Linked DNA regions of Neurospora crassa OR74A. The protein of the gene in region 1 binds, or shares a complex with, the protein of each later gene. Links are inferred from orthologs where the notes say so. Each region holds a gene or a part of one and is shown in the gene's direction. Other genes may lie near its edges.

Region 1 (4,574 bases):
AACAAGACATCAAGGTTCATACTAAATATGGAAGCGAAGGACAACTGTATGCAGTAGGGCTTCTTGCGATCGCATGGATAACTTCCACGATACTTCCCTTACCATCTTGTACATTCAAGTGAGTGGATCAGGCTTTCCGCACGATGACTGGAGATGGGAATGATGGACTCCAGCTAGAATCCTCTTGTCTGACTTCTTCACATTTGTTGACCTGGACGCCGGAGTCACGGAGAAGGATCGGGGCCAGACCGTCCCAACGGGCAGTCAGCAAGTGGGGCAGTCACAGGCATGGGATTTTTCTTTCAACACTGCCCGCCAATCGAATGCCAAGCATGTCCGCTAACGCTTGCCTACTTACATACCTCTAGCCAGAAAGGTCGATGGCGGAGATGGGGGTCGCTATCCACGATTTTTACGATAAGCACAGTGCAACAAGGGTCATTCTGGCCCAAACCTTGTCGGCTTCAGTTGGCGATGGAGATTCGTGGGCATCGCGATGATCACTTGGCAGATGCCGCGAGCGGTCTCACTACACCACAACGTGAGAGAACGTGCTCCATACGTGCCCGTACGTCGTGTACTGGGGTCACTGCAGCATCTCACCTGGACTTAGGTTGGACGCCCACGACGGTCTACGGCCATGATGGTTCAGATCGGTCCGATGATGGTCGCTGAACCCAGCGTCGACTCATAATCGAAGTCATAAGCAGAAAAGTGTGCGTCAAGTTGCCTCTGCTGATGAGGTTTTGACTTGCTGAGGACAGAGTGAATCAGCAGAATTTTCAAGTTTGCCTTCCAAAACCTGCCCGGCTCTGGAGGCCTAATTGAGTTGAGAGACCCTAAACGTTAGAAGCAAATCACCGCAGCCCGACGCCGGTGAGAAGGCGAGATGTAAACACCCGTCCAATATTAGCAGCTCGCAGTTCAGACGAAAAGCAACTTCTAAACTATCTTGCACCTATGAGGTACCTTGTAACTTGTGTATATGAAGCCGGCATGTCACCAATATCATTTACCCTACATCATGTCTCTGGCCGGGATCCCTGGAGAGAACGCTAGCACGCAAGACACGCCAGCCAAATGCTGAAGCATGTGGTGCCAGGAAGCGACGCGCGACGGGCAACCTGGAAATACACTACCTGAATGCGATGTACATGAACGGGCTTTGTACGATAAGAACAACAATGGCATGTTTAGGTTCATCTGGCTAGGCGTAGGTACCTGAGGGGATTTTCAGTTCAGACGAGCAGACCGGGCATGCAATGGCCGAGTGTAGAGTCAAACAAGTGACAGGAGGAGCTTGACCCTAAAAAGACGTGACCCATGACAATGGGCACCTTGCCTATGCTGGAATAGAATTGAAGGTCAAATACCTCTAGGTGGTGGTGTAGGGCAAGCGACAAGACTCATGGGCAGCAAATGGAAGTAGCGGACTGGGGCTGGGTGGTCGCCGGCGCAGTGCAGGCATCATGGAGTGGTCCAACGGGGCGCCTCCCGCTGCAGTGCCCTCGACCCGACTGTCCTGCCCGCACTGGCCAGTGCCCCGCAAATTTTCATAGCAACCCCATTGATAGCTTTTCTCCCCTCCCGGTCCCCTCCAGACCCGACCCTCGCTCAACATTTCTTGCACTGCTGCACAACAAGCCTTCTCTGCCTGGACCGACCGGCAACCACAGAACTTTTTGCCTTTCCCACCAGCACCGGGGCCCCTTCATCAATCTCTACACCCGACCGCTTCTTCAATCCAAATTTGCCCTTCCTTCTCCCATTTCTCCCTCCGACATCCACTGTACGTCGGTCGCAGGGTTCTACCACCGCTTCCTTCTCTGTATCCCAACTCATTTCCTTCTCTTGACCAGAACCAGACACAATGGCCGAGCCCATCAGAAACAAGCGGGCTGATCCCCCCATCGCTCCGTGAGTTTTCATCCCCAGACTTGATGGGATGCCCATCCCGAGTATCGCGTACCGTTACTGACCAGCCTTCGCTTCAGCACCCCCCAGAACACTCCTCTTAACACTGCCCCCATCTCGTCGCACGCTCAGCAGCCCGGTGTTGCCAGCATCAAGGAGGGTGAGTGAAGATTCTTGCTGCTGCTGAGACTATTTGGTAGTTTTCTGGGCTTGTCGCTAAACTTACTGTTCGTTGCAGAGGATCTTGACCGTGCCGCCGCCGCTTCCATCTTCGCCAAGGACCCTAGACTTGTGTCCCTTATCCAGGGTCGTCTCGGCTCTCTTGTCGGTCGTTCGTCCGGCTACATTGAGTCTCTCCCTACCGATGTCAAGCGTCGTGTCGCTGGCCTGAAGGGCATTCAGAAGGAGCACTCCAAGCTCGAGGCCGAGTTCCAGGAGGAGGTCCTCCAGCTCGAGAAGAAGTACTTTGCCAAGTTCACTCCTCTTTACCAACAGCGTGCCGCCATTGTCAACGGCCAGACTGAGCCCACTGAGGACCAGGTCCAGGCCGGTGAGGAGGATGAGGAGGAGGAGGATGAGGAGACCGAGGCCGCCCCCCAGGAGGAGAAGGCTACCGAGTCTGCCGAGAAGGTCTCTGGTATCCCCGAGTTCTGGCTCTCTGCCATGAAGAACCAGATCTCCCTCGCCGAGATGATCACCGACCGCGACGAGGAGGCCCTCAAGTCCCTTACCGACATCCGCATGGAGTACCTTGACAAGCCCGGATTCCGCCTCATCTTCGAGTTCGCTGAGAACGAGTACTTCACCAACAAGACTATCACCAAGACCTACTACTACCAGAACGAGAGCGGCTATGGTGGCGACTTTATCTACGATCACGCCGAGGGTGACAAGATCAACTGGAAGGAGGACAAGGATCTTACTGTCCGCGTTGAGCAGAAGAAGCAACGCAACAAGAGTGAGTTGCAGTTCCAGCTTGAATTTTCTCAAACTTGCTCACTAACAAATTGCACAGCCACCAAGCAGACCCGCATCGTCAAGAAGACCGTTCCTACCGAGTCTTTCTTCAACTTCTTCTCCCCCCCTAAGGCCCCCACTGATGACGACGAGTCTACCACCTCCGATATTGAGGAGCGTCTTGAGCTCGACTACCAGCTCGGTGAGGATATCAAGGAGAAGCTTATTCCCCGCGCCATCGACTGGTTCACTGGCGAGGCCCTCGCCTTTGAGGAGCTCGATGAGGAGGACTTCGAGGACGCCGAGTTCGATGATGAGGATGATGAGGATGATGAAGATGCCAGCGAGGACCAGGATGACGAGGATGAGAGCGATGAAGACGATGTAAGACTTTCTGAATTTTCCCCAACACATGCTATGCTCTGCAGGTATGCTGACAAATTTCACAGGAGGACGGCAGCAAGCCCAAGCAGGAGGCTGCTGAGTGCAAGCAGAGCTAAACGCTGATCGCTGAATGAACACGAAAATGATACCACTATACCACGCAGGCAAGGGGCAGAACGCCCAATGACATTTGGCGTCTGAGTTCCAAATTATTGAGGGTCATGCATGACCGCACCGGGGTGGCCGTGGGCTCAGGAAGAACAGGAGTGTGCGGATGGCCGGAGCTTGTGGTGGATCGATAACCATTCTACAGAATTTGAATTGGTCACATGAGGAGTTGGCTTCAGCACCTGCCTTGACGCTGTGGTTGTCTCTCATAAGTCTTAGCAGGATAGTTCGTCCTGACCCCTGAAGCAGTGGCACGTCAGAGCGCAAGGATGGGAGCAGATATGCGAACTAAACCGGAACAAGGGTCGATTTGTGCGTAAAGGGATGATATTATACGGGACAAAAGCAGTGATTCTAGGAGGATTTAGGTGTTGATTTCATAGTACAGCATTGCAGGTGTTTCTACATCACAAACCGTCATCCAACAGCGTGACTCGATGTAGACTGTCTGACTGTCAAGTTCATTAGGCCACGACACCAGGGGCGGATGACTTCTCCAAGGAGTTCTCAGATGGATGTAAATCGTCATGACCCTTGTTAGCCTCGCGTGATGTAGATAGAGTAAACCTCAACGGACGAAAGAGTCGCCGAGCTGAGGCAGTGCGTGCCTGGAAGGCCTGAAGGATGGGAGCTGGGCTTCTGGAAATTTAGTTGGCGATGTCTCTACTGACACGCAAGCTTGGCGGCTCCCGGTCGAGTTTGAAGGTAGGTAGTAAGTACCTCGAGACTTGGAAGTAAACTAAATAATGGAACCCGGGAAGTTGTTACACTATTCAGTGCTCGGGACACGAGGAGAAATAAGAGACCATCTGCGCTGAATCGAGTGAAAGCTGTCTACATGAAAACATACTGGCTCGGACAAAGTCAAGGGGACAACAAAGCCATGTCAGGTCGCTGTGGCAGTTTCCTATACATTGTGCGGACAGTCAGCTCGATTCTTGCGAGTCCTTCTTCTCCTGAGGTGGAAAAAAAAGAGGAGCCCGGGCAAGAAGACGGGAAGTACGGATAGCATGGGAAGAACACACGCCACATCTCATATTTCCATTTTTACTCTACGTTAAGCAATACAGCCCGATTCTATGTTATTCAAAGGGCTGTCAAATTGAGCAAGCGACCAACATACACTGCCAACTGAGTGCTTGCCTTCACAG
Region 2 (4,351 bases), on another chromosome or scaffold:
AGAGTCGACATTTGGCTGTTTGATAGTCCATGTTGGGATGAATTGATAGCTTTACTGGTTTGAATTTACAATGAGCGTTGAGCCCAAAGTTATGTGGTATCATCGATATCCTGGGGAACGCTCCCGGTGCCCTTTTCGATACACACCGGCGCGAACACTTTTGGTATATGTACAGAATAGTATACATTGTCTCGCTTCACACATGGACACCTAGATCGTACACAGATGTTGTGTGGTATGGGACGGATACAGCAACTGAAGTCAAGTGCCATCTTTCCCCGGGCATTATCACATGCCCTGATCCCATCATCCTCCCTCTCCTCTCTCCAACTCAGCATGCGCCGCTTAGTAGGCCTTGGCGTTGCTGCCACCATTACGGTCCATGAAGCCCTTGAGCTCTGTTGGGGTGTCATCAGTCAGTCAGCATATCTCCCTAGCACCATAAAGACATGAAGTATCCCAGCAGTTCCATCACATACTTCCCAGGCAGGTGGAGCACAAGTGGTGCATCCGCTTGAGGTTGCCGCAAGCCGGGCACCGGTTGAGATGTGTCACGTCCTTGAGCGCCTTGCCGGCCATCTGCCTGTGTCTCTTCTTCATGTGCGACGTCTTCTTCTTGGGCACGGCGCGCAGGATGCCTTCCCAGATGTCCTCGAGCAGCGACGGTATCGACGGGAGGAGCGAGATGGCGGCGGCGGGCACGGCGAAGTTGAGGGCGGGGACACCGAAGCGCTGTGTCCTGAGGGTTTGGAAGAAGGTCGAGGGGTTGAAGAGCCGCATGGCGGGGGCGGCAGCAGCAGCAGTCATGGCGGCCATTTTGAAGATTGGGGTATCGGGTTGGTTGCTGGGTGAAGTATACCTAGATGGAATTCGTTTTCGGATATGCGCAAAAAGTATTCTAAGGGAATTTGTAGTTGTCGCGCGAGATATTGGGGCTTCCGGTTCAGTCCCTTGATGATGTCGTGTCTTGCTCCCTCCCTTGTTCAAATTCCAAACCCTGCTGTGTGGCCGTCAAGGTGCTGTGTCCGGGTGGTCGGATCGCGAATCGGGAATCGGTGGACGGAGAGCGGAGTGTGATTTCTCGGACCAAAGCAAAAGGTGCTTCTTCCTCTGCTGGGCTGCCGGGGCCGAAAGTCGAGAACTGGCACCGCGCCCGCGCGGGACGGCAATCGTTGGAGGGGATCCACCCATCTCAGAAAATTCGGGCATGGGTGACACGGACCTACCAACCATTCGCGGTTCCCCCCAGGTCTTTTGTTAGTGCAATTAGTGCAGCACTCGCTGTCAAGTCAGTGCAGGTGCTGCTAAACCCGATTCGGGTGTTCCTGAAGCACTGACCCCACAGGGCCAATCAAACGAGCTGGGCGGCAAGGTGCGTGTCTGCCCCTTTCCCAGCTCCCGTCGTTCAGTGATTCGCAGGTTCAATTTGGCAGTCGACTCCCAGTTAGGTTAGGTTGCCTGGCCCCCTGGAAGTGGAAGGGAAATTGTGTTGTTTGGCAACGTGCAGTAGCAGCAGCAGCAGCAGCAGCAGCAGCGGGCAGCACTGCAGTGACAACCAACAGCCAGCCAGGTCCCGTCTGGCAGTCTTTCTGTAGGGGAAAGCACCATCACGTTGTCTTGGTTGGTGCCGTCGGGTGTCCAGTTCCATCTCCCATCCTCCCATTGCCCGATTGATTGAACCAAGCATCTGATTGCTTGTCCCCTAATTGCACTTTTGTTTCATTTCACGACCACACACACACACACCACTTCTCTTCTTCCCCGTTGTCCATCCCGTCCGTCTCCAGTCCAACCCACGCCCTTCCTTCGACCGCCCGACAACAGCCATCTTCATCTCCATTCGCTTCTCTCTCTTTGTTCCGCCGCCAATTCTCTTCCCGCCATCACCTGCTTTTTGGAATAATAAGTAGCCCCCATCAAGTTCGCAATCATGTCGACCATGGGCCCTGCCACCGTCCACCCCGAGACCCACGTCGGTTTCGACAGCATCACCTCCCAGATTGAGCGCAAGCTGCTCAAGCGCGGCTTCCAGTTCAATGTCATCTGCGTTGGTACGTCTACCTCTCCATTCTCTGCCATCAACCTATGCCCACGCAACTAACACCGCTTCCACCCAGGCCAAACCGGCCTCGGCAAGTCGACCCTCATCAACACCATCTTCGCTTCCCACCTCATCGACTCCAAGGGCCGCCTCCAACCCGACGAGACCGTCCGCTCCACCACCGAGATCCAGTCCGTCTCCCACATCATCGAGGAGAATGGCGTCCGTCTCCGCCTCAACATTGTCGACACCCCCGGCTACGGCGACATGATCAACAACGACCGCTGCTGGGATCCCATTGTCAAGTACATCAAGGACCAGCACTCTGCCTACCTCCGCAAGGAGCTCACTGCCCAGCGTGAGCGCTACATCCAGGACACCCGCATCCACTGCTGCCTCTTCTTCATCCAGCCCTCGGGCCACTCGCTCAAGCCCATCGACATTGTCGTCCTCAAGAAGCTGTCGGATGTCGTCAACGTGGTGCCCGTGATTGCCAAGTCGGACTCCCTTACGCTGGAAGAACGCCAGGCCTTCAAGGAGCGCATCAAGGAGGAGTTTGCCTTCCACAACCTCAAGATGTACCCCTACGACAACGACGAGCTTGACGAGGAGGAGCGCTCCCTGAACCAGCAAATCAAGGTGGGCTTTTGTACTTGCCCCAGAAAGTAACAATAGCTAACGTGACACAGAGCCTCATTCCCTTCGCTGTTGTTGGTTCCGAAAAGAGCATCGTGGTCAACGGCAAGCAGGTCCGCGGTCGCCAGAACCGCTGGGGCGTGATCAACGTGGAGGACGAGAACCACTGCGAATTCATCTACCTCCGAAACTTCCTCCTCCGCACCCACCTCCAGGACCTCATCGAGACCACATCCCAGATCCACTACGAAACCTTCCGTGCCAAGCAGCTATTGGCCCTCAAGGAAAGCAGTGCGCAGGGACACAGCAGCAGGCCAATCAGCCCGGCTGCGGATCGCGAGATGAGCCGCAACTCTCAACGCATGACCATGAACGGCTACTAGGAGAAGCCCAACCACAATCAATGAGGACAGCAAACTTGACGGAGAGTCGGCATGCGCAACACACTGCAATCCCCCGATATAGACGAACGACGACCGATACGCCCCTCGAGGATATGGGGGGCCAGAACTAAAAAGGCTTTGTTTGGGTCGGGAAACAAGCGATGGCGCAAACGGGATGCAATGCGTTTATTCACTACTGCCACGTCTTGTTGGTGATATGGTTATTTCGGTGGAGTGGACTTCTTAACCCCCTAATTTCGTTTTTAGTACCGGAAGCTCCATTGCATCTCTGCAGCTTTTGGGCCGACTTTCTATCTTAATGAGGCCTTGTCAGAGAGTATGCACTTGAGGGCTAGATTCAATATTTTTACGGAATACATACAGATGTGCCGAGAAAGGCGGATGGGAGCTTTCCAGGGAGGGTCCGAGGCAGAGCAGTTTAGAGACGAGGTTCTTGGGCCAGCTTAATTGTAGCCATGTTGTTTTATACAGATGTTCAATACCCAGCTTATTACGTACTTGCCGCTTTGGTTTCTTGACTTTCTTGACTTTGATGATGATGATGATGATGAGGATGAAGATGAATAAGTCTGGCAAAATAACCTGACCTGCTCTGTTTCAAAGAAAAGCCTGGAAGCTCAAGCTGACAATGAACCCAAGTCCCGTCCCGGGATGCCCTAGACTGACGTTAACTCCGGGGGCTGTTTACAGTAAACTCTTTGCCCCACCAATCCACGCGTGCCGTTCTCAGAGACACGTCCCACTCGAGTGGATTTCCCATTTGTGTCATTCCCGCATTCCCACAATTTCCATGTCGTCTTTCTTCTTTCTTTCTCATTCGCATGTCCATCTCATCCTGGAACCCGATCTTAGTCAAGAGACTTAAACCTTGGAATCGCCAAATCCATTCCATCAATCAATCAATCAATAACTCCCGTCGACCTTGATGTAAACAATCATGCGCTTCTTCATCATCGTTACCGACCACACGGATACCCAGTCGCATAGAGGTACACATCGCCACCATCCATAGCCATAACCGTTTACCTAGGTACTTTTGCAACAACATCACCATCCATCGCCATCCACCACCATCCGGAGCCAACCGTGAATAATGACTACGAATAAAATGGCCCCAAAGGACCCAGATATCGATATGATGGATATAGACCACAACGACGACGACGACGACGACGACGATGATGATGACTTTGATGCCGACGAACTAGATGCGTATTTCCAGGCGCATGGGTTGGATGAAGTACACGAACCGTTTCGGTGGGTGTCGCCT
Region 3 (4,537 bases), on another chromosome or scaffold:
TCTGGAACCAAACTGCCTCTACCTAGTGGGGAAGTAGAGGATACTGTGTATACAGATGTGGTCGTGCCAGAGTGTTTTAGGAATTCCCGAAAGGCCAATGTGTTCGTCTTTGATTTCTGTGACCGAGGCGGGAAAAAATATAAGAAAACGAAGCGTCCAGTCCAGCCCTTCCGGATGTGGGGAAGTTGATCGGATTGTTTCTTTAAAAAGCCAGGCGGCTCCATTCCCGTTCGCTTGTTATGGAGGACGGGAACTGGAGGAGCTTCTATGTATGAATGGAACTGGGGTTTCCACACCCAGGGTGTCAGACCATCAGGGCCAGGCGCATCTTGCAACCACCTCCACATGGAAGCGGTATGCTCCAGGATGCACCGAAAATCGACGGATATGCGCCCAAATGTCCCAAGCCACGCCATTGCCATGTTTCTCTAACCATGGGACATCGAGTTGGTCCCGTGTCTTGCTTTTCTGATCTCATCCAGGGTCTCCGATGATCGACCACCGTGACGGCTTTGAAGAAGAAAAGTGATCCCTATCGACCGCACCGATCAAAATGTCCAGCAAGAACTCACGGGATTTACACCAAAGCACGGCGACAATATTTGGATGCAAGCGCCCGAGCACCACATCCAGAGTGTAGGAGCCTGACGGTAGCCACCATGTCTGTCTCATCAACAGGCGGAAACAGGCGTATAATATAAAAACACATAATCCATGGTATTTGGCCTCCAGCAAAGACAACTTGAAGGAGATGATGCTGTTTGCCCTGACTGAAACAGTCGCTCGTCTGGTTCCGAAGTCGGGTGTGGGATCTAGACGCGCTCAAACCTACCTAGCCCGCCTACCCGTGCCTCGTAGCCAGCCTCAGCAAGTTATGTCCGAATATCATGAGCAGTCATACCAGAGAGCCAAGCACCAAATAGAGTTGCAGAGAAGCGCGAAGCAAATCAAAATGTGAAAGTGCACGGGATTTGGTCTCCAACAAATGCACGTAATTTAATTTTCAGGAGCTCCCTGGCTCATAAGTACTTAGCTCATCGTCACATCCGTGCTAGTACAGTGCGGACATGGCAAATTGAGCCGAGGCGGCATGACCTTTGTGGTTCCTACTCCTTTCTGCTTGCTTGTCAAATGTTTGCTCTTGTTGGTATTGCGTTCTACACTGGTAGCTTAGTGTAGGTCTCATAGGTCTCATGTTGAGATGATGGGTTAGATATTACTCATAGACAAAAGATGAAGTTCCCGTTGCTCGATGCCAGCTACTCAAGGTTAGTATATTGTGTTGACACAAGTTTTGAGATTGGATTTCTCGAGCCCCAGAATTCACACTCATCTTTTTCCCCAAATGCTGGGCTGTAACCATGTCCTGACCAATCATGTGTCCGATTGTGTCAACCCCTGCTTATTAGTTTTCCCCTTAGCATGTCCTTTTAGGTTGCCCACCCGTCAGGCCAGTGGACACTTCCTAATCGAAGTCTAATGTGCCAGCCGGGCCACCAGCGAGCGAGGCCTTGCGACCTTGCGCCCGTGTGCAGTGTTTTACTCGTGGTCCTGGCACTGGTGCGTCGGGCCTGCCATGGCCTGTCCGGCGTCCATCCGGGTTCCAGCACGACACCACCTAACACCACATTTGGCACGTCGAACCTGAACCCCTTTTGAACTGCTCCAAACGGAACGTCGATGCAGCCAGGCACAGGCAATCTAAACACCTACCCAATCTCCATACCCACCCCCCATCCCATCCACAATCATCCATCCATCTTCTTCGACTGAAGCCGCCCTGTCTGCTCGCTGCTGCTGCTGGTGCTTGCTGCTGCCACACTGACTGCCGTCGCTCCTCACACAAAATTTCCCATTCTTTTCTACCGGCAACAACTCAGCATTCTCCTCCCCGTTATCACGTCCCCGTCTTCATTTCGTACCTTACCTTTGGCACTCTTTTCATATTCATACGCGATCCAGCGTTACCTTTCAGATTCACCGGCCAATTGCCTTGGAAATCCGCACTAGGCGGCGCCCATTGACAACTACCCAACCTTTGACAATACGCGAACCATCGAGGTATCTACCCTACCGGCTCGCCTTCCTTCCGGTAAGTTGATGCTGCTTGATCGTGAACTCCGATACTCTCTGTATAGACGCTCGCTCCTGGTCCAGCCCAGAGCACGTATCTACAGCCTCCCCGTCCGGCTCGACAGATACCGAATGGCTCTGTTGCTACTGCCCCAACCTGCCGGTATCTCGTGCTCTTCGTCGTCACAAGCCCCCCTCATAGTTGCCGCTGGGCTGCGCCGATACGAGCAGCCACTCCAGCCAGCCCGTTTGCCTCCACCGCAATCCACGTTGGGGTTTTAGGTGGTGTCGGTGCTGGTAGTACCGGACTCGCACTGCAGGGCACTTGACGAGTGGGCGGTAGCCGTCTGCACGGAGAAGGAGGAAGACACATGCCGGGTGCAATTCAGCTTCCATCTCAATGACTGACGCTATTCGTTTACCTTCCAGACTTCGCGCCTTCCTTACGATCCCGAATTTTTTTACCTTTTTCATCAACCGTTCACTTCTCGACTCGACCGAAACATCACCATCACGGTACCTTCTGCTATAATGGGTAAGCGCTTGCTTTCTGTCCTCTACTTAACCTGCCCATTCGACCAAGCCGCAGGAAGCATCGCCGGATCACCGACCTCCTCGTACCTTACTCTACGGTCCAAGGGCTCAACAAAACCCGACTCAACGCCGCCCTTCGCCGACTTTTCATCTCCCTTCCCCCCACCAACATCACAGCTCGTTCTTCTGATACGATCATCACATTCGTTGTCCGCTTGCCATCTACCGTTTCTTGGGAACCGTCTTTTTTTTGGAAGAGAACCATCTTACCACCCAAATACTTTGTTCAAACGACTCCGCTGCAATGCATTTCGCTACCATGATGCACAATGCCACCCGGGGCCGCGCCAAAAGTGTTCAGTTTGAGAAGAGCTTCGCCAGTCTCGCTGAAACCATCGATGGAAGCGCCTCGCGGGATGGTCCCGTGTCCCCCGTTTCCGTCTCCGGAACACGGACCAGCAGTTTGCCCCTTGGGGAGAACAACGAGATGATCAAGAAGGCTCTACGCCGATACAAGAGCTTGCTGGAAATCGAGGACCCGGCCCCGACGTTGCCAATGACCCAACAATTCTCATACGACGAGCTATATCCCAAGGCTACGGATCCGACTGTGTCCCAGGAGCCATTACCGAAGCGGCCTTTATCCTCTAGTAGTTGAGAGCTCCGCGCACTTGACTGGACATACATTACATACTTTTGGGCACAAGATGATGGATATCATGCTAACGTTGGCTCTATGACAGCTTCGAACGGTATTCCCACCTCTCCTCCTGTTAGGGCGGCTCCCGTACCTCAGTCATCGACTTCCCAGCCATTGCCATCTCAGACGAAACAACATCAAGATGCTTCTGGTTCTGACACCGTGGCCGCAGCTCTCCCTTCTACCTTGAGCGACAACCGAAACATTGTCCGAAGGAAGCTGACGGGATACGTTGGTTTCGCCAACCTTCCCAACCAATGGCACCGCAAGAGCGTCCGCAAGGGCTTCAACTTCAATGTCATGGTTGTTGGTATGTGACGCTTTCTGTGTCCATTGAAGGAGATTTACTAATTCTAGACATGCAGGTGAATCGGGACTCGGAAAGTCGACCCTCGTTAACACTCTCTTTAACACTTCGCTTTACCCTCCCAAGGAGCGCAAGGGACCTAGCCTCGACATTGTTCCCAAGACTGTCACCATTCAGTCTATCAGCGCCGATATTGAAGAGGCTGGTGTTCGCCTCCGTTTGACCGTCGTTGACACTCCTGGCTTCGGCGACTTTGTCAACAACGACGAGTCTTGGCGTCCTATTGTGGACAACATCGAACAGCGCTTCGATGCTTACTTGGATGCCGAAAACAAGGTGAACCGCATGAACATTGTGGACAACAGGATCCATGCCTGTGTGTTCTTCATCCAGCCCACCGGTCACTCGCTCAAGCCTCTTGATATCGAGGTCATGAAGCGTCTCCACACCAAGGTCAACTTGATTCCCGTCATCGCCAAGTCGGATACTCTCACCGATGACGAGATTGCTGCTTTCAAGGCTAGAGTATGTCTTCGGGCCCTACTGGTTCTGCGATCAATACTAACAGTTTATCATAGATTCTTGCGGATATCAAGTACCACAAGGTGCAAATCTTTGAGGGCCCTCGCTACGAACTCGACGATGAGGAGACCATCGCGGAGAACAACGAGATCATGTCCAAGGTCCCCTTCGCTGTTGTCGGTGCGACCAACGAGATCACAAACGCCGATGGCCGTAAGGTTCGCGGTCGCCGTTACCCTTGGGGTGTGATCGAGGTGGACAATGAGGAGCATTGCGACTTTGTGAAGCTCCGCCAGATGCTCATCCGTACTCACATGGAGGAGCTCAAGGAGCACACCAACAACGTCCTTTACGAGAACTACCGCACGGACAAGTTGATCGCTATGGGCGTCTCTCAAGAT
Region 4 (4,504 bases), about 2.3 Mb from region 1:
AACTGTAGGTGTGAACCCCTCCTCTTGATCAACACTCCATATCCTTGCTGTGAGATCCTTGGAAGATGTGAGGAAGAATCGCGAGTCGTGGGACCACTCGATGTGACGGACATCGTCGAAGTGTTGGACGTGGGTATGGTGCTTGACGAAGGGCGCAAACTCGAGCTCGCCGTCGGCGTTGGCGTCGGGTGTTGAGGGAACGTGCCAAACCTCGATTTTCCTGCCGAGTCCAACAATGAAGTGGCGCCCCGATGGCGAAAAGGAGAGAGCCGTTACTGGAGCCTTGAAGGAGAAGTGATATAGTACTACGCGCCGGGGCACGTTGGTGAGAATAGCTTGGCCATCTTCGTCTATGGAGAGTAGGAGGTTGCCCTGGGGCGTGAGACCGATACGCGCAATGTTCTTTCGGTGGGAGAAGGGAAGGGTATATGATTTGTTACTGCGACCGTGTTAGCCAGCTTACAAGCCATGCGCCAGGCAGGTGTGTAGGGAATCTTGAGACGTACTCGACAAGGTTAAAGACTGTCACCCTGTTGCCAACGGGCGAGAAGAGATGGGTACCGTCCGGGCTGAACAAGAGGTTGCCCTGGCAGTAGACTGTGCCCAGTAGATTAGAAAACTTGAAGTCGGTCTTCATTTTCAAACACTATTCCATGCCTCGACTGTCAACGTTGGAGATGGAGCAGAACTGGGATAGTATCTGGGGATTCGATTATGTACAGGAACTGGAGGACTCTTTCGAGTCTGTATAGGTAAGTGGAACAGAAGTTCAGTTACAGGCTGCTGCTGTTGCGCCTAGACCGCCCGTACGTTCAATGGCGATTCTGCCAGCCAAAAATTTCATAAACTTTTTGGCGGGGAATGGAGTCGGGTTAGCTCCTCGCTTTGGCACCAGCTGGCAAAAGACTTGGCGTATCTGGCAGCCTCACCGACCGCAGCGAGACCAACCACTGCACGGCACCACCAAGCACGGTCACCAAGCACAGTGCAAGGCTGGCAGAGCTGGCAATCAAAGGGTCAAAGGGTCGACCAAGTTTCCATGGCAATGAATGGCTGATCACCGCCAATGGCGCTAGCAGGGAAGGCACGCATCGATTAAATGCTCGGCGAGGGTACCTGGCAAGCGCGTTTCAGTGGAGAGCTGCCAGCGTAGGTCCGTCTCTGGGGACCTGGAATTGGGGAAGTGTGGGAAGCAAGTGGAAAAGGGGAGGGTCCACTCATTTCCCTGCCGCGCAGCCAGTCAAGAGCGGCCTTGTGTGGTGGCAGCTCTACACTACTGCAGAATGCCGGGCTCGAAAGGTGCCATTGGATTATATGGATCGTGTACCGTGCGCCTTCTCGGCATCATCACAGACGGCTGCCGTGGCCCCGCCCAGGCACCTCATCTGGAGGATGGAATCGAATGCTGCTTGCTCGCTGCTTGCTCCGTCCGTCTGCTGCCGCGGCCCTGCAGTGCCTGGAGTGCTTGGGGTTCAGTCAGTGTGGGCTAGGTTTGGCCTGGCGCTCCCGTCCCCGTCGCTGGTGCTCTCTCCTGCGTGGGTGTGTGGTGCTGGGTTGGGCCAGATGAATGTGGTGTGGAAATTTGAACAAGTAAATTCCCCTGAACGAAAGCACAGAGCTCCACGACGGGTCCCCCGTCCACTCACCACTGCAGTTCCATCCCCCGTCTGCCTCTCGCTCCCACCCGTCCACTGTCAACACCAACCTAATTTCGATTCCCATTCACGACCACCACCATACCCGTACACCACGCATCCCGCCTGACGCTCTTTTTCTCCAATTGCCGGTGCTTCTTCTCGCCGTTACAGCAACGGGATCGTGACTTAATCCTCTACCCATAATTATCTCCCAGTTTCGTGTTTCGCCCAGCTGAAGATGGCCCCTGCCACTACCGAGAGCGCCTCACCGATTGGCATTGCCAATCTGCCCAACCAGCGACACAAGATTGTTGCTAAGAGAGGCGCTGCTTTTACTATTATGGTGCGCTTCACTGTCCAAAGCTTGCCGAACCTCGCGCTTGTAAAACCAATGCTGACGGCGTGGGTGGATAGGTTGCTGGCGAGTCCGGCCTCGGCAAGACCACCTTCATCAACACGCTGTTCTCCACGACCATCAAGAACTATGCCGACCACAAGAGGCGCCACCAGAAGCAGGTCGACAAGACCGTCGAGATCGAAATCACAAAGGCTGAGCTCGAGGAGAAGTTCTTCAAGGGTACGACAGCACATCACGCAGGGGGACCTTGGTGTCTTGTAGGAGAGCTCTGTCTAACCAGCTTATAGTTCGCCTGACTGTTATCGACACCCCCGGCTTTGGTGACTACGTCAACAACCGCGACTCGTGGATGCCCATTATCGAATTCCTCGACGACCAGCACGAGTCCTACATGCTCCAGGAGCAACAACCCCGCCGTCAGGACAAGATTGATCTCCGTGTCCACGCCTGCTTGTACTTCATCCGCCCCACCGGCCACACGCTTAAGCCCCTAGATATCGAGGTCATGAAGAGACTCTGCTCTCGCGTCAACCTCATTCCCGTTATTGCCAAGGCCGACACTCTCAGCCCTGCCGACCTGGCGAGGTTCAAGTCCAGGGTAGGTTTTTCCCTTTACTTGAAGATACCACCCATCATCGCTAACCATGACTTCTAGATCCGTGCCGTCATCGAAGCTCAGGGTATCAAGATCTACCAGCCACCTATTGAGGAGGATGACGAGGCTGCCGCACAACACGCACGCAGCTTGATGGCCGCTATGCCCTTTGCCGTTATCGGCTCCGAGAAGGATGTTAAGACCAGCGATGGACGTATTGTCAAGGGCCGTCAATACTCGTGGGGTGTGGCCGAAGTCGAGAACGAGGAACACTGCGACTTCAAGAAGCTCCGTTCGATTCTTATCCGCACCCACATGTTGGACCTTATCCACACAACAGAGGAGCTGCACTACGAGGCTTACCGCGCCCAGCAAATGGAGACCCGCAAGTTCGGCGAGGCTCGCCCAAGGAAGCTCGACAACCCCAAGTTCAAGGAGGAGGAGGAGGCTCTCCGCAAGCGCTTCACAGAACAGGTCAAGATCGAGGAGCAGCGTTTCAGGCAGTGGGAGCAAAAGCTCATTGCCGAGCGCGACCGTCTCAACAAGGACCTTGAACAGACCCACGCCCAGATCAAGTCCCTCGAGATGGAACTCGAGTCTCTGCAGGGAAATGCCGTTCGCAGCCACGGTCGCCGCTAAGCGGTTATCACGGCTTTTGCGGTATCCTCTACAAGGGTGACCACCGTCTCCCGTTCTATCGAGCATTAATGTACCTGCGCCTCGATTTTTTTCGACATGTTTACGTGAAGACGAACTGGGCGACTTACATACCTTGAAAGACGATGTTCATGGATATGCTGCGGTTTGGTAGGATGGCGCGGTCATCGATCGAGGCTTGTTATAGAAGGGGAGGCTCCTCATGTTTTTATACACTTGCCCGGGTTTCCCTCATCTTCTCACAGACCCTTTCTGCATAGCCCGAATCGCGCAGGGAGGCCCAGGAGATGGGGATGAAAAGTTACAGATATTTGGAAGATTTCGAGCGGCAACTGACATTTTACCACACCCTTTACACTTAACTTTACCCCATCACGCCAGTTTTTTTTTTTCTGTCCGTCTTAGCTACGATGTAATTCTGATAGCAACCCCCCTTTCAATGATACCAAATAATGAGAAAGGCTACCACTTTTGAGTACAAGCTTTGACTTAATGACTGTAGTGCTTCGAATTGAGAGTTGACAAAGGTCTCTAAGCTAAGCGCAAACCTGTGCTACTAAAGTGAGTTGCTATTTCCATATCATGCCCAGTTAACAATATTGCGTTGAAAATACAAGAGGTTGCTCCGTACACCAAGCCCGACTTAGCACACGCGTGAATAATCTATCCGTTACACCAGGTCACTGTGATGCCCTTCCTATGCTCTTCTGAACCGAACCATTACTGGGTATAATTCCTTTCTCCTCCCCTTCCACCCATCCCACTTACACTTTATTGGATATCCTCTAAACGGCATCCATCGTTGCCCGCGTCGTCAGCTGCTCATTCTTGTTCCCCAGCTTCGAGATCTGCAAGAACGCATCCACCCCATACCCTTCCAGACTGTGCAGCGCCAGGCTACCAGCCCAGTACTCGGCGTACACCCTGCTCAAAGGCAACCCCATGCCCAGGCGTAGGTTCGGCGGGCGGCTTGTCAGCGTCGCCAACGAATTGCAGTAACCCGGGTCGCCGGGGAAGTTGTTCCCGTTGTGAATGCCTTTGATCTGTTGTTTTTGTTGCTGTTGCTGTTGCTGTTGCTGTTCCTGCCGCTGTTGTTGCAATTTGCCCACCGTTGTCCCAGCTTCGCTAGAGGTACTTCCCTCGACCTTGAGCTCCTGCATCGTCGCGGCCATCTTGGGCACCTGTTCCAGATTCGTCAGCAGCTGCTGACTCGCAGGCCCTTTGCTAAAGGACCACAAGTACGGCAGGACGTCCTGC
Region 5 (4,483 bases), on another chromosome or scaffold:
CTCGGCAGTGAGATGAAGGGATAAGCTTGCTGAAAAATCGCTGGGAGACACTAATATACGTAGGAGCTTGATAAGTATGGGAGGTTGTAAGTGGACGAGATAGGGCAGGTGTCGTATACCAGGCAATTGCGACGATGTCGTTAGTCCGTCGACATGTATAATGTGGATGATATAATGTAAGATAGTACCTGCATGCGCCCAGCAGTCACAATCGATTGATTAAAGCTCTCAAAGCAGGCGGCCCAACTACGCCACGTCCATTCGACACTCTGCACACAACAGTATGTCGAAGTTGCGGGAATATCAAGGGTATGGAGCAATCCAGATATACCAGAGCCGTATGGTTTCTCCACACAACGTTCGTGATCGAGCGAGAATTGTGTACCTATGGCTTTGTTCAGGCCTGACGAGACCTATCCTGGAGGCTCTTTAAGAGAGAGACAATGAGATCAGAAAACAACAATGACGGGATTCAGCAGGGGCGGGCCGACAAGGAGAGCCTCGCATGGCGGCTCGGTTACCAAGTGGAATGTTGGTAATGCGCAGGACGTTGACTGGAGGAAGCTCTGGAGTCTGGTTGCAAGTGAGGGATGGATCGCAAGAGGAAGTTCCCGCCTGCCCCGCGCCGATGACAAGTACCTCTACGCCCCGGGAGTTGGGGACGACGCCTGGATCTCTCGCGATGAGCTGGACTGAGCAAGCCCCGGTGATGGATCGACGGGATCGAAGCACATCCAACACGACATCAACCTGATGATGAAGACGAGAAGCATGCCCGACAGCATGACAGCAGAGACTTGAGCGACACCTAATGCATGTATGTACTATGTACATTAAATGGCTGACAGCTGGCAATGCGCTTGCTTGCCCATACGGCATAGCTGCACCCCCAGTTGCCCACTCTCAGAAGCTCGAATCGCCGGGAGGGGTCTGCAAGACAGCCTGGGGTTGGGGTTACACGCTTTTCCAGAATTAGTCAAGCGTCAGGAGCTTAGCAAATGACCCCCTGATTGCCATGGAGCTGTTGTTAATTGCGGATTGGGACAGGTCTTGCCAATTCCCATCTGATTGCAGCTTCAGGTTAAGACGTCCGTGACGAGTCGAATGAGCTGTGCTCGGTAGATTGGTTGTGTGAAGCAGTGTTTGTACTTGTTAGGTAGTCCACGACATCGAACACTGAAGTGGACTTGAGCTACTGGAGGCTTTTCATGTCCATCTCTTCAGTATTCTATCCAGACGCATCTGGAGGTTGCCGTTCCTCAAGCGTCCACTTCCACTTCCGCCCTGCGATATGAGGTTTCCTGGTCCCGTTTGTCTCCACAGTGTGTTTATTCTAGCCCGTGATGAGGATGGGATCCGTGCTCTGGGCAAAGCAAGGAAGCACAGGAGGTTCCTCCCAAACAGCTGGGATCGCTACTACTGTATACCTAGGTAGGAAGCGTACCTCTAGAGGTTAATTGGAATAGTTGCAGCCCTCTTCAGGGCACTGTGAGAGACCGAGCCAGCGCGCTGCCTCTGGGCTGTCGCTCCCCTCCCGTCCCCTCCCTGCCACGCCCATCAGGTCATTGGCCACTGCTCTGCCCGGAGGTGCACAGGTGGTCCTGGCCGGTCCCCATCATCCCGTCCCGCCCTGTCACTGTGTGGCAGCGTTCACGCCCACGTCCACTCTGGGCAAAGCAGCCCAGTCCAGTCCATTGCAGTAACACCGCAACATTTTGTGAAATTGCACTTGCCATCTTCTCCTTTTCCAATCCGAACGCCCACTCCACGACCTCCCCACGACCTCGATACCTCGCTCTCACACGGCCAACACTACCTCACCTCTACCCGACCCCGTCTCCATCTCCAAGACATCTCTCGGTCGCCGCATTTTTGGTGACTGGATAGCCAATCCCATCAACCATACCACCACTATTCTTCCCCAGTCAATCCTCTGAGGTAGACACTCCCCTTATTACCCTTTTGTTGTTTGTTGGTACGGACCCGTTGTCGAGAAATTAAAGGCGCCAACCGCCAGCTGTCACCATGTCTCTGCCTGCCGTATGTTTTGTTTGTTTGCTTGTCTCGTTCTCGTCGTTCTCTCACCGTCCTGGCACTCCATCTTCGTGTCCTCGACCTACAACACTGCCAATTGCTACCCAAATAAGCTATTCGGTTGCACGTCATGTTCACTAACACCATCTCCTCCCGGCAGAAGATGATGCGCCGCAAGAAGAACGTCAAGAAGGGTATCCAGTTCTGCCTGATGGTCTGTGGCGCCTCAGGAACTGGTGAGTCCTTCCAACCCCCAACGAGTCTATCCCGTCGTGCCCTGATCAAGGATTAACCATTGCATTATCTCCCAGGCCGTACCACCTTTGTCAACACCCTCTGCGGCAAAGAGGTTCTCACTCACAAGGACTCCGATGATCCCGCGACCGCCCACGTTGAGGAAGGCGTCAAGATCAAGCCCATCACAGTTGGTATGCTTCGCACTCGAGTCGAGGATCCTACGGTGCGAGTGGCGGTTGTCTAACTATCTATACTACAGAGCTTGAGCTGGACGAGGAAGGGACGCGTATCGCCCTTACCATCGTCGACACCCCCGGCTTCGGTGACCAGATCGACAATGAAGCCAGCTTCTCCGAGATTGTTGGCTATCTCGAAAGGCAGTACGATGACATTCTTGCGGAGGAGTCGCGCATCAAGCGTAACCCCCGCTTCAGGGACAACCGTGTCCACGCCATGCTCTACTTCATCACCCCGACCGGCCATGGGTAGGTTTCACTTCCTCTGTTACACATCCTGACACATCTTGAATCGCAACTAACATGTGCTATAAGTCTCCGTGAGCTGGACATCGAGCTTATGAAGCGCCTTGCGCCCCGAGTCAACGTCATTCCCGTGATCGGCCGCGCTGATACGCTCACCCCAGCTGAGCTTGCCGAGTCCAAGAAGCTAGTGATGGAGGATATCGAGCATTACCGTATCCCCGTCTACAACTTCCCTTACGATATCGAGGAGGATGATGAGGATACCGTAGAGGAGAACGCCGAACTCAGGGGTCTCATGCCGTTCGCTATTGTCGGCTCGGAAGATATCATCGAGATTGGAGGACGCAAGGTCCGCGCTCGCCAATACCCATGGGGTGTTGTTGAGGTCGACAACCCGCGCCATTCCGACTTCTTGGCTATCCGTTCGGCCTTGTTGCACTCGCATCTCGCCGATCTGAAGGAGATCACCCACGATTTCCTATACGAAAACTACCGTACCGAGAAGCTCAGCAAGAGCGTTGAGGGTGGTGCTGGAGTGTAAGTGTTACCCTGAAGCTTCCGATTGCAACCACGTAGCGGAGTAGAGTACTAACGTTGATATAGTGACTCCTCAATGAACCCTGAGGATCTCGCATCCCAATCCGTCCGACTCAAGGAGGAGCAGCTGCGTCGTGAGGAGGAGAAGCTTCGTGAGATTGAGGTTAAGGTCCAACGCGAGATCAACGAGAAGCGCCAGGAGCTCCTCGCCCGCGAATCTCAGCTTCGTGAGATCGAAGCCCGCATGCAACGCGAAGCGGCGGCTGCTGCCCAAGCAGGGACACCCACTACCAGCCACAGCCATCAGGAAATTAACGGTTCCCCAGATGGAAACTAAGCACCAACGACACTAGCACACACATACCTAATCTGTCGTCTCTGTTTACATCCACATGAACAGCTTCAATACCCCACAGGGCGACCGGGTCATTATACGCAGGCGTTGGTTCTTTTGTGTTGTTCGTTGTTTGATAAAATATTCCCCGCTATTTTGCGACTTTTTTTTTTACTGGAGATGATGGCTCCAAAGAAGACATACGATGGTGACGACGACAACACGGTGAGGGGTTCAGTCTCGACAAGGGCATTCAATCGGGTCGGTATTCAGTGCAGCCTCATCAAATTGACGGGGATACCCGCATTGCGGCATAGGAGCATGTCTTCACCGCAGAGGTTTCGTGTCGATTAGTCAGTGGAACTGGTATGCTCAGCTTGCCTGCCGTCGACGCAGCAAGAAGTACCGAAACAGACTGCTCGGGACAAGAAGAAGGCCTGGGGACGTATTGACGGGAAACGATTATTACCGTATGACTTGTCTTGATTATTCTAGAGGCCTTAGGTTTTGTCCAAGACCTGTGGCACCACCCCGAATTTTCCAACTTCTACTATTGGACTTCTAATGCAGATATCAACTAAATTAAATGCACTTCACTTGTCTCGGATCATATATATAACATTGAGCTAGTGATGAGCGTGTGTGTACTCCTACCACATAGAGATGCTAACACTTAAAAGTTGTTGATTTTGTCAGAGTTGCATTTTACCAAGTTCATGGCTACGTGCTTTTGTTGCTACGACACTTGAAAGCCGCAGATGATGTTGCGCGGGTAAGAGATGTTGGGAGTGATAATATTATATTAGGTCGGAAACGCTGTGCTTTTTTTTTATATAATTCCATAGACGATATAAAGAGG

The links.
Region 2: naf-1 (region 1) and NCU03515 share a complex: the UniProt entries of both Saccharomyces cerevisiae proteins name them as parts of the GIN4 complex. The link is inferred for Neurospora crassa OR74A from reciprocal best matches to the Saccharomyces cerevisiae genes NAP1 and CDC10.
Region 3: naf-1 (region 1) and NCU08297 share a complex: the UniProt entries of both Saccharomyces cerevisiae proteins name them as parts of the GIN4 complex. The link is inferred for Neurospora crassa OR74A from reciprocal best matches to the Saccharomyces cerevisiae genes NAP1 and CDC3.
Region 4: naf-1 (region 1) and NCU03795 share a complex: the UniProt entries of both Saccharomyces cerevisiae proteins name them as parts of the GIN4 complex. The link is inferred for Neurospora crassa OR74A from reciprocal best matches to the Saccharomyces cerevisiae genes NAP1 and CDC12.
Region 5: naf-1 (region 1) and NCU02464 share a complex: the UniProt entries of both Saccharomyces cerevisiae proteins name them as parts of the GIN4 complex. The link is inferred for Neurospora crassa OR74A from reciprocal best matches to the Saccharomyces cerevisiae genes NAP1 and CDC11.

Annotation. Positions count from the first base shown.
Region 1 is NC_026505.1:4,745,672-4,750,245, reverse strand, and holds naf-1 (nucleosome assembly protein), read left to right. Parts: upstream 1-1,596; 5' UTR 1,597-1,870; coding exon 1,871-1,917; intron 1,918-1,994; coding exon 1,995-2,074; intron 2,075-2,152; coding exon 2,153-2,872; intron 2,873-2,929; coding exon 2,930-3,255; intron 3,256-3,320; coding exon 3,321-3,371; 3' UTR 3,372-4,075; downstream 4,076-4,574. UniProt on the Saccharomyces cerevisiae protein: Acidic protein, which assembles histones into an octamer (in vitro). Involved in the regulation of the localization and the function of the septins during mitosis. Involved in the function of B-type cyclins.
Region 2 is NC_026502.1:407,883-412,233, forward strand, and holds NCU03515 (cell division control protein 10), read left to right. Parts: upstream 1-1,527; 5' UTR 1,528-1,930; coding exon 1,931-2,051; intron 2,052-2,117; coding exon 2,118-2,680; intron 2,681-2,730; coding exon 2,731-3,060; 3' UTR 3,061-3,585; downstream 3,586-4,351. Other genes in the region: NCU03516 (mitochondrial ribosomal protein subunit L32), read right to left, coding at 346-398, 480-816; NCU03514 (hypothetical protein), read left to right, coding at 4,175-4,351. UniProt on the Saccharomyces cerevisiae protein: Septins are GTPases involved in cytokinesis that assemble early in the cell cycle as a patch at the incipient bud site and form a ring approximate 15 minutes before bud emergence, which transforms into an hour-glass shaped collar of cortical filaments that spans both sides of the mother-bud neck.
Region 3 is NC_026504.1:2,496,280-2,500,816, forward strand, and holds the start of NCU08297 (cell division control protein 3), read left to right. Parts: upstream 1-1,497; 5' UTR 1,498-2,092; intron 2,093-2,502; 5' UTR 2,503-2,604; coding exon 2,605-2,608; intron 2,609-3,350; coding exon 3,351-3,617; intron 3,618-3,672; coding exon 3,673-4,139; intron 4,140-4,192; coding exon 4,193-4,537. UniProt on the Saccharomyces cerevisiae protein: Septins are GTPases involved in cytokinesis that assemble early in the cell cycle as a patch at the incipient bud site and form a ring approximate 15 minutes before bud emergence, which transforms into an hour-glass shaped collar of cortical filaments that spans both sides of the mother-bud neck.
Region 4 is NC_026505.1:2,439,183-2,443,686, forward strand, and holds NCU03795 (cell division control protein 12), read left to right. Parts: upstream 1-1,366; 5' UTR 1,367-1,875; coding exon 1,876-1,980; intron 1,981-2,051; coding exon 2,052-2,214; intron 2,215-2,282; coding exon 2,283-2,593; intron 2,594-2,650; coding exon 2,651-3,229; 3' UTR 3,230-3,729; downstream 3,730-4,504. Other genes in the region: NCU03794 (periodic tryptophan protein 2), read right to left, coding at 1-439, 507-637; stk-24 (pyruvate dehydrogenase kinase), read right to left, coding at 4,033-4,504. UniProt on the Saccharomyces cerevisiae protein: Septins are GTPases involved in cytokinesis that assemble early in the cell cycle as a patch at the incipient bud site and form a ring approximate 15 minutes before bud emergence, which transforms into an hour-glass shaped collar of cortical filaments that spans both sides of the mother-bud neck.
Region 5 is NC_026501.1:2,406,356-2,410,838, reverse strand, and holds NCU02464 (neuronal-specific septin-3), read left to right. Parts: upstream 1-1,653; 5' UTR 1,654-2,025; coding exon 2,026-2,040; intron 2,041-2,194; coding exon 2,195-2,270; intron 2,271-2,345; coding exon 2,346-2,462; intron 2,463-2,530; coding exon 2,531-2,756; intron 2,757-2,822; coding exon 2,823-3,290; intron 3,291-3,356; coding exon 3,357-3,627; 3' UTR 3,628-4,310; downstream 4,311-4,483. Other genes in the region: NCU02465 (hypothetical protein), read left to right, coding at 463-696. UniProt on the Saccharomyces cerevisiae protein: Septins are GTPases involved in cytokinesis that assemble early in the cell cycle as a patch at the incipient bud site and form a ring approximate 15 minutes before bud emergence, which transforms into an hour-glass shaped collar of cortical filaments that spans both sides of the mother-bud neck.